Linked DNA regions of Arabidopsis thaliana. The protein of the gene in region 1 interacts with the protein of each later gene in a pairwise test. Each region holds a gene or a part of one and is shown on either strand. Other genes may lie near its edges. The genes, in order: AT5G49540 and AT3G02420.

The links.
Region 2: the proteins of AT5G49540 (region 1) and AT3G02420 interact in a two-hybrid assay, tested with the Arabidopsis thaliana proteins (2 studies listed by BioGRID, with this or other methods).

Annotation. Positions count from the first base shown.
Region 1 is NC_003076.8:20,103,817-20,108,274, reverse strand, and holds AT5G49540 (Rab5-interacting family protein), read left to right. Parts: upstream 1-1,996; 5' UTR 1,997-2,290; intron 2,291-2,649; 5' UTR 2,650-2,665; coding exon 2,666-2,763; intron 2,764-2,861; coding exon 2,862-3,057; intron 3,058-3,167; coding exon 3,168-3,187; coding exon of another isoform or gene 3,188-3,197; exon of another isoform or gene 3,198-3,440; coding exon 3,441-3,471; 3' UTR 3,472-3,794; downstream 3,795-4,458. Other genes in the region: AT5G49555 (FAD/NAD(P)-binding oxidoreductase family protein), read left to right, coding at 27-139, 202-281, 375-495, 586-652, 735-864; BLOS2 (biogenesis of lysosome organelles complex 1 subunit-like protein), read left to right, coding at 1,119-1,202, 1,274-1,573; AT5G49530 (SIN-like family protein), read right to left, coding at 4,033-4,092, 4,180-4,300, 4,391-4,458.
Region 2 is NC_003074.8:495,370-501,202, reverse strand, and holds AT3G02420 (dihydroflavonol 4-reductase/flavanone protein), read left to right. Parts: upstream 1-2,238; 5' UTR 2,239-2,430; coding exon 2,431-2,607; exon of another isoform or gene 2,608-2,825; intron 2,826-2,969; coding exon 2,970-3,099; intron 3,100-3,184; coding exon 3,185-3,285; intron 3,286-3,585; coding exon 3,586-3,711; intron 3,712-3,804; coding exon 3,805-3,925; intron 3,926-4,009; coding exon 4,010-4,094; intron 4,095-4,203; coding exon 4,204-4,317; intron 4,318-4,449; coding exon 4,450-4,489; intron 4,490-4,871; coding exon 4,872-5,024; 3' UTR 5,025-5,319; downstream 5,320-5,833. Other genes in the region: TBL20 (TRICHOME BIREFRINGENCE-LIKE 20), read left to right, coding at 1-218, 380-683; AT3G02430 (transmembrane protein, putative (DUF679)), read right to left, coding at 1,184-1,843.

The DNA.
Region 1 (4,458 bases):
GCTCTGTTCTATCTTCTCTCTGTCAGCATGGACGAGGTTCACTCAGCATGTCATGATTCTGAAAATGGCTTACCATCGAGAAGACCAGTGATCGAAATGACTATTCCATCCACACTAGACAACACCATTTCTCCCCCAGGTACACATTCTCCCCCTTTTGCTTGTTTAGGATTTGAACTCTGAATGTGATTTTGTATGTAGGGAAGCATGTAATCAACTTGTTCATCCAGTACACTCCTTACAAGCCCTCAGATGGAAGCTGGGAAGATCCTACTTACCGAGTTAGTTTGTTATACACGCTTGGCTAAACATTCCTTTACACTACAAGACATGCCAAACCCATCTGGATTTGCTTTTGCTTGTGTAAAAATCAGGAAGCCTTTGCACAAAGGTGTTTCAAACTGATTGATGAATATGCACCCGGGTTTAGCTCATCCATCATTAGCTACGACATGTTGACTCCTCCGGACCTGGAACGGGAAATTGGTCTAACAGGTATATAAAGTGAAGTACTTGGAGAAAGATCCCAAGTACATGCGACATGGCCAAACCATATTGACATGACTGCCCATTTGTATTCTGCAGGCGGAAACATCTTTCACGGTGCCATGGGATTAGACTCTCTCTTCCTGATGCGCCCTGTGAAAGGATGGTACGTGACTCCGAAGTACTCAAAACAGTCTTTACGATTTATGATTATGAAATTCAAAACTTTGTTGGACTGTGTGAAACAGGTCAAATTACAGAAGCCCTTTGAAAGGTCTCTACTTGTGTGGCAGCGGAGCTCATCCTGGAGGCGGAGTTATGGGTGCACCTGGAAGAAACGCTGCACATGTTGTTCTTCAAGACTTGAAAAGAATCTAGCGAGTATAATCTCAGACTGTGCAATGTTAACTCTCATGTGTAAGTTGTTTGTTACTGCTCTGAAAACCTCTGTCGTAGGGAGAGGCTTACAGACATGGACAATAGTTGATATCAACGAATAATAAGCCTCCACGTGTAGCTTAACCTAAATATCACTAATTCAACAAATATGGAAAGTGCCCTAAACAACAGAAGAGCCATTGTTTATTTGTCTTTGTCTTTGTCTTTGCGAAAAGAAGTAAATATCCTCATCAATGGCGGATTCACGAGATGATCTAGCTGAATCGCTACAAAATCTATTCACGAGTGTTTCATCTATGGTCAAATCCGAGCTCCAGGTGAAAATCAATCCGAAATTTTACAGATTTATTTGTTTCCACAGATCTGAAATTGAATTGGATAAAAATAGGGAACGAACAACCATCTAGATCTATTGGAGAAGATGAACCTGAGAGTTGCGTCAGAGTACGATGATATGGGTGACGTGGCAGCTGGGCTCAGAGTTTTCGCAGAACAGATGAAATCAAAAAGTGGTGGCTTGGATGAATTTGTAGGACAAATGGATGCTATCGAGAAACAAGTGTCGGAGTTTGAAGCTGTGATCTCTGTTCTAGATCGATATGTCTCTGTCCTAGAATCTAAAATCCGAGCTGAGTATCGTCATCCTCATCATCAGCGTCGCTCTAATGATTCTGTTGTTACAGACTGATGCATTGTAGCAATAATTAATTTTTATCATTACTGAGATTGTTGGAATCGAGATCTGGAATGCTATTTTGGTTTTAGTTGATATTGAAGCTAGATACGAATACGACGAATGATTTTGTCTACATTCGGTTTAAGTTTAACCAAAACTGAAATTTGCATAAATCAATCTGGAACCAAACCAAACGAAAAGCACCTAAGTTTTTTTTTTACCGCTACTCCATATATAACCATTTACCGTACTTACTAATGCATTGGTTAAGTGTTTTGTTAAACATATTAAAACCTCCTAAGCAAACAAAACCAAACCGAATTAATTTCAGTTTGAATGTAATAGCGATGGTTTTATAAAACCAAAACTTGGAACAAACTGAACTGCTCATCTTTAGTAGTAAGTAACGAATTTTCATAATCACAAATTGTGATGTATAATCATGTTATCCGTTTCAATATCAAGAAATTTAACTAGCATAGTTGGAGAGTGTTGTTAATTTTGATTAGTAGTGGACAATCCGGTTTAAGGTTTGGTTCCGGTTCGATTTTACGGTTTATATATTACTTGTTTTCTCTGTGTTTTTCTTTTGTCTAAAAACACTCTAAAGAACTTAAAGATATTCGTCTGATTGTTCTCTCTCAAATTGGCTCATCCTCTCCATTCAATTCATCCCAAGTACCAAAGCAAGCTACTTCGATCTTCCTCTTACTACTCTCGTTTCTAATTGTAAGTCTATATCAATTCCTTTTCCAAAGTTTGTGTAGATCTCAAAGTAGTAGATCGGAAGAGATCGATAAAACCAGATCGATTAATCATAGTTGCTCCCACTCTCGACTACTTAAGAGATAATCATAAAGTCTTAACCTTTAGGAATCGAAATTTATTGTGATGCTTAGATAGCGAAACCCAGTTATAGAATCATTGAATCAATTAGAAACCCCTAATTTTCCTGTGGAAATTTGCTTAAAATCAATACTTTTTTGGGTTTGTAATCTATACACTTACTCTATGATGTCCAAGTTCTTCCTTTTTTGTTACTGTAATGTAAAATCCAATACAAAGATTTGAAATTTATGTTGTTTCAGATTGTTGTTATCTTAAATGGGTTCATCTGAGAAGAGATCAAAGGATATCATGAGTGACATACCAACTTTCAGTGCAGAGAATTTGCAGAACAATTTGAAAGTCATTCAAAACAGGTCTGATTCAATACAATTCTCTCTCTTTCGTTTTCTTAAAAAGATGATGGTTCTCGGGTTTTTTGACTTGTTATCCCTCATTTTGTTCGTGTTTGCAGCCGGACGTTTCTGTCTATCATAGCTGGTGTCTTAGCAGGAATAATTGGATTCAATGGCTTGATTGGTTTTGTATTTTACTTTGTGGTGATGTTGATCACATCTGTTGGGCTCATGGCTAAGGCAGGATTCTCAGCTGACTTGTACTTTGATTCGTGGAATCGGGTTCTTTTTGACGGTTTTCTTGGTGGCCTTATGGTATATCTTCATTTCCTTTTCTTATTACATTGTTTGTTGCTTCAAGATACATGTTGTTGATCCAACCTGTTAATCTCATACTAATCGCGGTGTTGTTTTCTTTTTCGCAGTCGTTTGTGCTGTTCTGGACGTATCCTTAAACTCAATTTGGTGGTCATACTCATTTTATGATAATGTGCAAAACTAAATCAAAGGTTGATTAGCTTTATGGAAAAACATCTATGGTATGGTGTAGGTAAAAATGATTAGCTTCTTAAGAACCTGTGATTAACATAGAAATGGCCTTTTTGTTTACTTCGTGTAGAATCAAGTATATGCGCAACTCGAAAACAGCTCTCTCTATTCTCTGTTTGTCTCAGTAGGTTTCCTTAACAATGGAGTAGATTTGCGTATGACTTGGTGCACATATTCTGAGGGAACTTCTGCTCCAGATGAGGATGGTGAAACGGCACACAAGATTGAGTTCGGGTTTTGCAGCCTCTTCATCTAAACTGAATTAGATTGACAATGTTTCTCTTGTTCCCTTTTTGAACAACAGTTTATGAGTTCGTATTACCTTTTTTTGTTATTTGAGATCACATCAAACTGTGAAAACCTTTAGATTGAAAAGTTTCAAGTATTTACACTTTCTTCCAATTTCATGTGTTCACATTGTTGTTTTCTTTTTTTTTTACATTCTTGCATGTAAAATATATTCGAATATGCTTAAGATTTCAATAGAGAACATTAGAACACTCTCTGTCAAGTTTGAACTTAGCCGTCTATGTGTATTGTATAGTTCTTTTGTTGCTTCTTATGTTTATTTTCCTGTGTTGGTGTGGCTTGTCTTACCAACTCTAGTTGAGTAATAGAAAAAAGGTTGTTTGATTTCAAAAAGGAAAAACAAAATATGAATATCTCATAACTACTGAACCGTTTACTCATATCAAAATTTATAGACCATTAAAATCTAGTCATGATGATTTAATAAACTCATCATCGAGCTTTCTGTAAAACCCATCCTGAAGAGTTGGTTTCACAGATCTCGTGCATCACCTGTCACACAACACACAGAGTTTAGAGACTAAAACTACGCTTTGGTCGAAACACAAAAAAAAAGTCAAAGAGAGCTCAAGTGAAGACCTTTATATATTCGTTGTTGGTGATTTCACGTTCAAGTTTGGTCCTGCCTGCTGCAAATACCTCAGCCTTCATAAGCTTTGTTCCAGGTGGAGATCCGGTTAAGAGGCTAATGACCACTTCCCTGATGATAAAAACAAAAAAAAAAATCAGAGAAATTAGAGATTCAACCGAAATAAAGAACCAATGTGATCATGTTCCAACAAAAAATAACCTCAAAGAATCATATTCAGGATGGTCTGGAGACGATATGGAGACATAAGACCCGTGAATGTTAGTAGC
Region 2 (5,833 bases), on another chromosome or scaffold:
AAACAAAAAAGGATAGGATGTTTGTATTGCTACATTCCCGGAGTCAGAAATGTCGGGGCACATTTCGCGTATAGAAGAGCATTGAGAACAACATTCAAGACAATTCTTGGATTAGAGAATTTTAAAGGAGAAGTGTTTCTGAGGACATTTGCTCCTTCACATTTCGAAGGTGGAGAATGGGACAAAGGTGGAAATTGCTTGAAAACGCGACCATATAGGTATACATTGTTCATCCGACATTTTCTAAAATATTAGTTTCTTCTAGAATACTTTAATATTATGAGTTTTGTGTTTTTTTTGTTGTTGTTTGAGTTTTCATTCGTCACATCCTAATAGAAACGTCTATATATTCCTTTGGGTTTCTTTTGTGTTTATATAGGAGCAATGAGACAGAGTTAGATGGTATGAATCTAGAGACACACAGCATTCAACTCGATGAATTTCGCATTGCAAACAGAGACAAAAACAGAAATGACGGATTAAATTTGAGATTACTAGATGTCACACAGATGATGTTGTTAAGACCAGATGGACATCCGAGCAGATTCGGACATAAACGAGAAGATAAAGTTATCTTGTATAATGATTGTGTACATTGGTGTTTGCCAGGTCCAATTGATTCATGGAACGATTTTTTACTAGACATGTTGAAAAATAGAGATTTAAAGAGATTAAAATACTAGTACGTAGAATCTAAATTTTCTCAGTTAAACCCTTTTTGTTCATTTGTAATTATATACGAGTATGTTTGGTTACGATGTGGTATTTAGAAAGATCTCTTCCCTTTTTGGCACGGTTTTCATAATCAGATATAAGCTTTTAAGTAATTTCAGATCTTAATTAACACATTGAATATTTAATGATATGGATCTAATATAAGTTTATGGTACAAATGAAGTAAAATAGTCAACGTTTTCCAAGTAACATGTCAACCGTACATACATTAATGTATTTTACATCAAAAAGTCCATGCAATGATTTTAGAATTCAAATAAATAAAGTCTATTTGAATTAGGAAAATTATATATATTTGACACAAAATTAAAATTTATTAGTTTAATAAAAAGAATAATGGTCATAACGTATATATACAAATTATACAACTTTACAAACAAGAAAACAAACGAAAATAGTCAACCCACCATGCAAACGCTACCGTTTCTAAATTGGTTTTAATTATAAATCATCGGCGATCTACGCTACCGGTAACAAGATATCCAATTCCGTGGCGTCTCGCCGGAAAAACCATAAACAAAAGGCTACACATAACCCCAACACCCACCGGAACAATGTCCAAGACATGTTTCGTCTCTGCCTCCGGCGACGGATAAAAGCAATCAGTTATATACTTGTCTCTCAACGCAACCGCTCCAAACACTAAAACCGACAACGTAGCGTGGATCCAATCAACGAACCGCATCCGATATTTGGCTAAATCGGGTAAACCTAACCCGGACGGGTCAGGATAGTCAACGACCCACATGCCTTTGAACGTTACGAAACCGAAGTAGATAGTTCCATCGTCGGCTTTAACGCTATCGGTAAAGGAGCTGACGAAGCAAGACGCGGCTAAGAGGAAAAGGAGAACGGCGGTTAGGAAACGCGTTGCGTGGTCGCAAACGCCGTTTGAAGTGAAAACCGGCGTTAGGAGTTGAAACGCGAGGAGTGTTCCCGTTGGGAGTAGGTTTGAGAGATTGGCTGCTGACGTCAGGGTGTTTGACATGGCTCGCTGAGACATTGACATCTGTCTCTTGAGCACCCGGGATTCTGACGGTGTCTGATCGGATAACTCGTCGAGCTCCGGAGCCGGAGTGTTTGCGTTTCTTAGCCGAAGGGCAGACATCTTTTTAGTTTTGATTCTTTTCAGGTTTCGATCGTTGGATTGATATTGGTGAAGATAATGATGATGATGTTTTTTTATAGATGCTACGATATAGAAACAGCTAATGATAACTTAGTTTACGCATAGTGGACTGTCTGTATTTAAGTAATCTCTCTGTTCAGTTAACTTGTACGATAAACAACATTATACACGACAAATAATACAAGACTTTTTAAAGCTTTTAACAAGATAGAACATAATGCTGAAAACAGTGATTGAGCTAGATATAACTGTGTCATATTCTGCTTGTTCTTCGCACGCTAGTCCTTCTCTGTTCTCACGATTTAGGGTTTCTTTCCCAATGCTCTGTTTTGTTCATTTTCTTTCTTTGGATAAATTGCATACAAACCCTCAAAGTTTCCAGTCTTTTGCAAAGTTGTAGTTATTTTTATATTAAATATCATAAACAACTGATTGCCAAAACGTCGTCGCTCTTGCAAAAGTCCACAGATACTAGTAGTAAGTAAAGTATAGGAAAAGTGGACCAAAGAAACAAAACCCATACAAAAAAAGTCGAATCCAAATCTCTCTCTCCGGCGATCTCATCCATGGCGGAAGGCGGCGAAGATTCCCAGCGGTTGAAGAAAATTGCGGCGGCTGCCTTCGACTACGAAAACGACGCTCGATGGGCCGATTACTGGTCCAATATCCTCATCCCTCCTCACATGGCTTCTCGTCCCGAGGTCGTCGACCATTTCAAGCGCAAATTCTACCAACGCTACATCGTACTTACTACTATCTTCCCTACTCTTGAATTTGCTTATCCATTTTCTTCATTACTTTGAGTTTCGAGTTTGACTTTGTGTTGTGTGCGCTACTGATTTGGGGATTTAGTGTGGACTTTGAATCTTAGGTTTTACAAGTGTGGTTGTTGATGTTCTTTCTGCTAAATTGCTTAGTCCTTGGGTCCGAATCTCCTCGTGATTAGGTTATTAAGCGGAGGGTAGGGCTTTTCATTGAATATTCGTTAGGTCCTGTTTATAATATGTGAAGCCTTCGTGTTGTTCATCTTTGCTCTTCCCTATGAAGATGTAATCTGGATTTGTTTCTAAATCTAGGGTGCTTGCCATGTCCTTCTTTTTTGCAGGATCCTGATCTTGTTGTGGAGCCTATGTCGACTTCATCTTCGTCTTCACAATCTGCCAGGCCAACTGCTACATCTGCATCTTCAACTGCATCTTCTAATGCAAATGAACAAGTTCGTTCACGGAACTCAGGTCAACTTTCTTTGTCTGATATATTCTTGAACTCAAATGAGCTTTTCTTATTACTACCAAAAACTTACCTAATTGTGTGCCTCAGGATCGGTTCCTCGAACCTCTGGGCCATCTGCTACGACTGGTGCAACCCCAAGTTCAATGCGCTGGGATGAGCAGACGATTCAGTTTTCAGTCAATGCTTGGGTAAGATAAAGTTTTTCAGTTGCAGTTTCTTCCTCTTATTGCACAAGTTTAATAAAAAGATCTAGCTCTTGTTAGCCCTGTGAGTTGGGATTGTTGTTGCAATCTGCTGTTCACTCCTTAACTTCACGGACAGTAATGAGATGGTGCATAGTGTATTGTCTGTCTTTATGTTCTCCTGTCTTGCTGAATCTTTGTTGTGTACTTAGACATGAACTAGATGTGACAAATGCTTTTTTGTCTGGAATGCTTCACGTAACTTATCTCCCGTTTCATGTCTCTAAATCCATTACATTTTTGCAGGTTTTTGTTATAGCTGTGCTGGCAGTGCTACCTCTAATACCAAAGAACCTCTCAAATAGGGCTTATCGTCTATCTTTCATGGGAACTGCATGCTCATCTCTATATTCCTTATACTCCTTATACGGGGTACGCCATGTGAATTTCATGTTTTCTTTCTCTCTAGTGATCATGCAATGCGAAATTTTTGTTACTTATGAATTGTAATTTTATAATCTGCAGAGGCCAAGGGCATGGAATATGCAAGGGCTGCAAGTTTATTTTCAATCAATTGTGGCAGCAAAGGATTTCATCTACTTCATCTACTGCCTTACATTCGTCACTTCACATCTCTGTCTCAAGTGTAAGAATTTATTGAAAACTCTTTTGTGAATGTCTTCAAATCACGTACATTCTTATGACTAGTCTCATTATCAATCTGTTGCAGTTGCTTTGATTCCCATCTTGTGCCGGGCACTTGAACAAGTAGCCAAGTTCTTGAGGCGTAACTTTGGTCGGTCCACTATATACAGGTAGGTGCATCGAGCTGATTAGCAGGTTTGAATGTAGTAGTAGGTTCCATGTGTGGATTCTTACTGATGCTTATGTTGTACATGTGTCTTGTTCTGTAATGGTTATCAGAAAGTACTTGGAAGACCCTTGTGTGTGGGTGGAGTCAAACACTACTACCCTCAACATCTTGTCATCGCAGGCTGAGATAGCCATTGGCTTCCTTCTGATTATCTCTCTGCTCTCGTAAGCTCTTTGAACCTGTTAGAAGCGATAATAGTTTATTTTCGCACTTAAGTTTATATTCTCACTAAGTTCCCAGCTTTGCATTAGCTGGTTTCACTTATCTGAACAAAATTGTCATTTTACTTACTGCAGATGGCAACGTAACATTATACAGACGTTCATGTACTGGCAGGTACGTATCATCTTTTGGTTGTAGTCATCAGTTCTTTGTGATGGCTCAACATTCCCAAGTAGAACCCCTGTTTTCTTTGTTTAATTTGATCCAAGTGAACATATAGGAAGAATCATTTCCGTAATAACACCTTTTTTGTTGCTTTGATGATCTTCTGTCACTGAAAGTGTTACATGGGCTAAGACCATCAGGATAGTAATGAGAACTGTGTTTTGTTTTTTTTTGGTTAAAAATCTTGTGTTCTTGTTATAAAATCTGTCAAGTTCAAAAACCTTTTCCTCATATTCTTCCTAAAACAAAGATCTACTAGGTTGTTTGCAGGATTGTTGGTTGGATCTTGAGAGTTGTTCTCATGAACTGAGTTTTGTTATTTTGGTGGCAGCTATTGAAGCTGATGTATCAAGCACCGGTAACAGCTGGTTACCACCAGAGCACGTGGAGCAGAATAGGGAGGACGGTGACTCCGATTATCCAACGTTACGCTCCTTTCTTGAATACTCCGGTCAGTGCCGTTCAGAGATGGTGGTTCAGGTGATAAAAAGAAACAAAATGCAGAGGTGACTTTTGAAACCCTTTTGAAAAACCAGAAGATTGATTAAATAGCTTTCAACAATCCATGTTAATTTCATATTCAGCGTAAAGTAGATTCTTCTTCTCTTTTAACGTTTTCCTTTGGCTATCGCTGAAATAAAAATCTCTTATTACTTTTGGTTTCTAGTTTAGTTATATGTGACTAATTGCCTTTCCAGTTTCCACCTTGCCATTTTCATTGGTGAGATACTTCAAAAGTTTCTAAAAAAATAATAATAATAATATTTTATTATGATTTAGTTTCTGTCCAATTATAAACACATACATATACATATAGTCTCTCAATCATTACTCTAAAATTTCTCTGCATAAAAACAATTCTCAATCTCTCTCTTATCTCTCTCATACTTTATTATTATTTTATATTTTTTAGTCAATAAAAAATTATGTGAGAAATTACCGATGAAAATGTTCTAAATTTTATAATATCTGATTCCATGAGTGATTGTAGAACTTTTGCTCAAAAATAAAAATCATCTAAAATATCATCTGGCCCTAGAAAATCGGTTTCATTGTGTAAAATTATTATATATTGAAAGGGTGATTATTTAAAGAAATTATAGTTGATTGGTTGTGAGTCGTTTACACATGTGGATGAGTGTTTTTGTTCGAAAAAAGGAAATCTAAAATAATGTACATTGGGGGGGGGAGAGGAGTATTATTTAGATAAACCAAATTTGGGAATAAGGTATCTTAATCATTGATTCATATTCCCTTCATTGGTGCGCGTGCCACCGCTTAAATCACCGAACA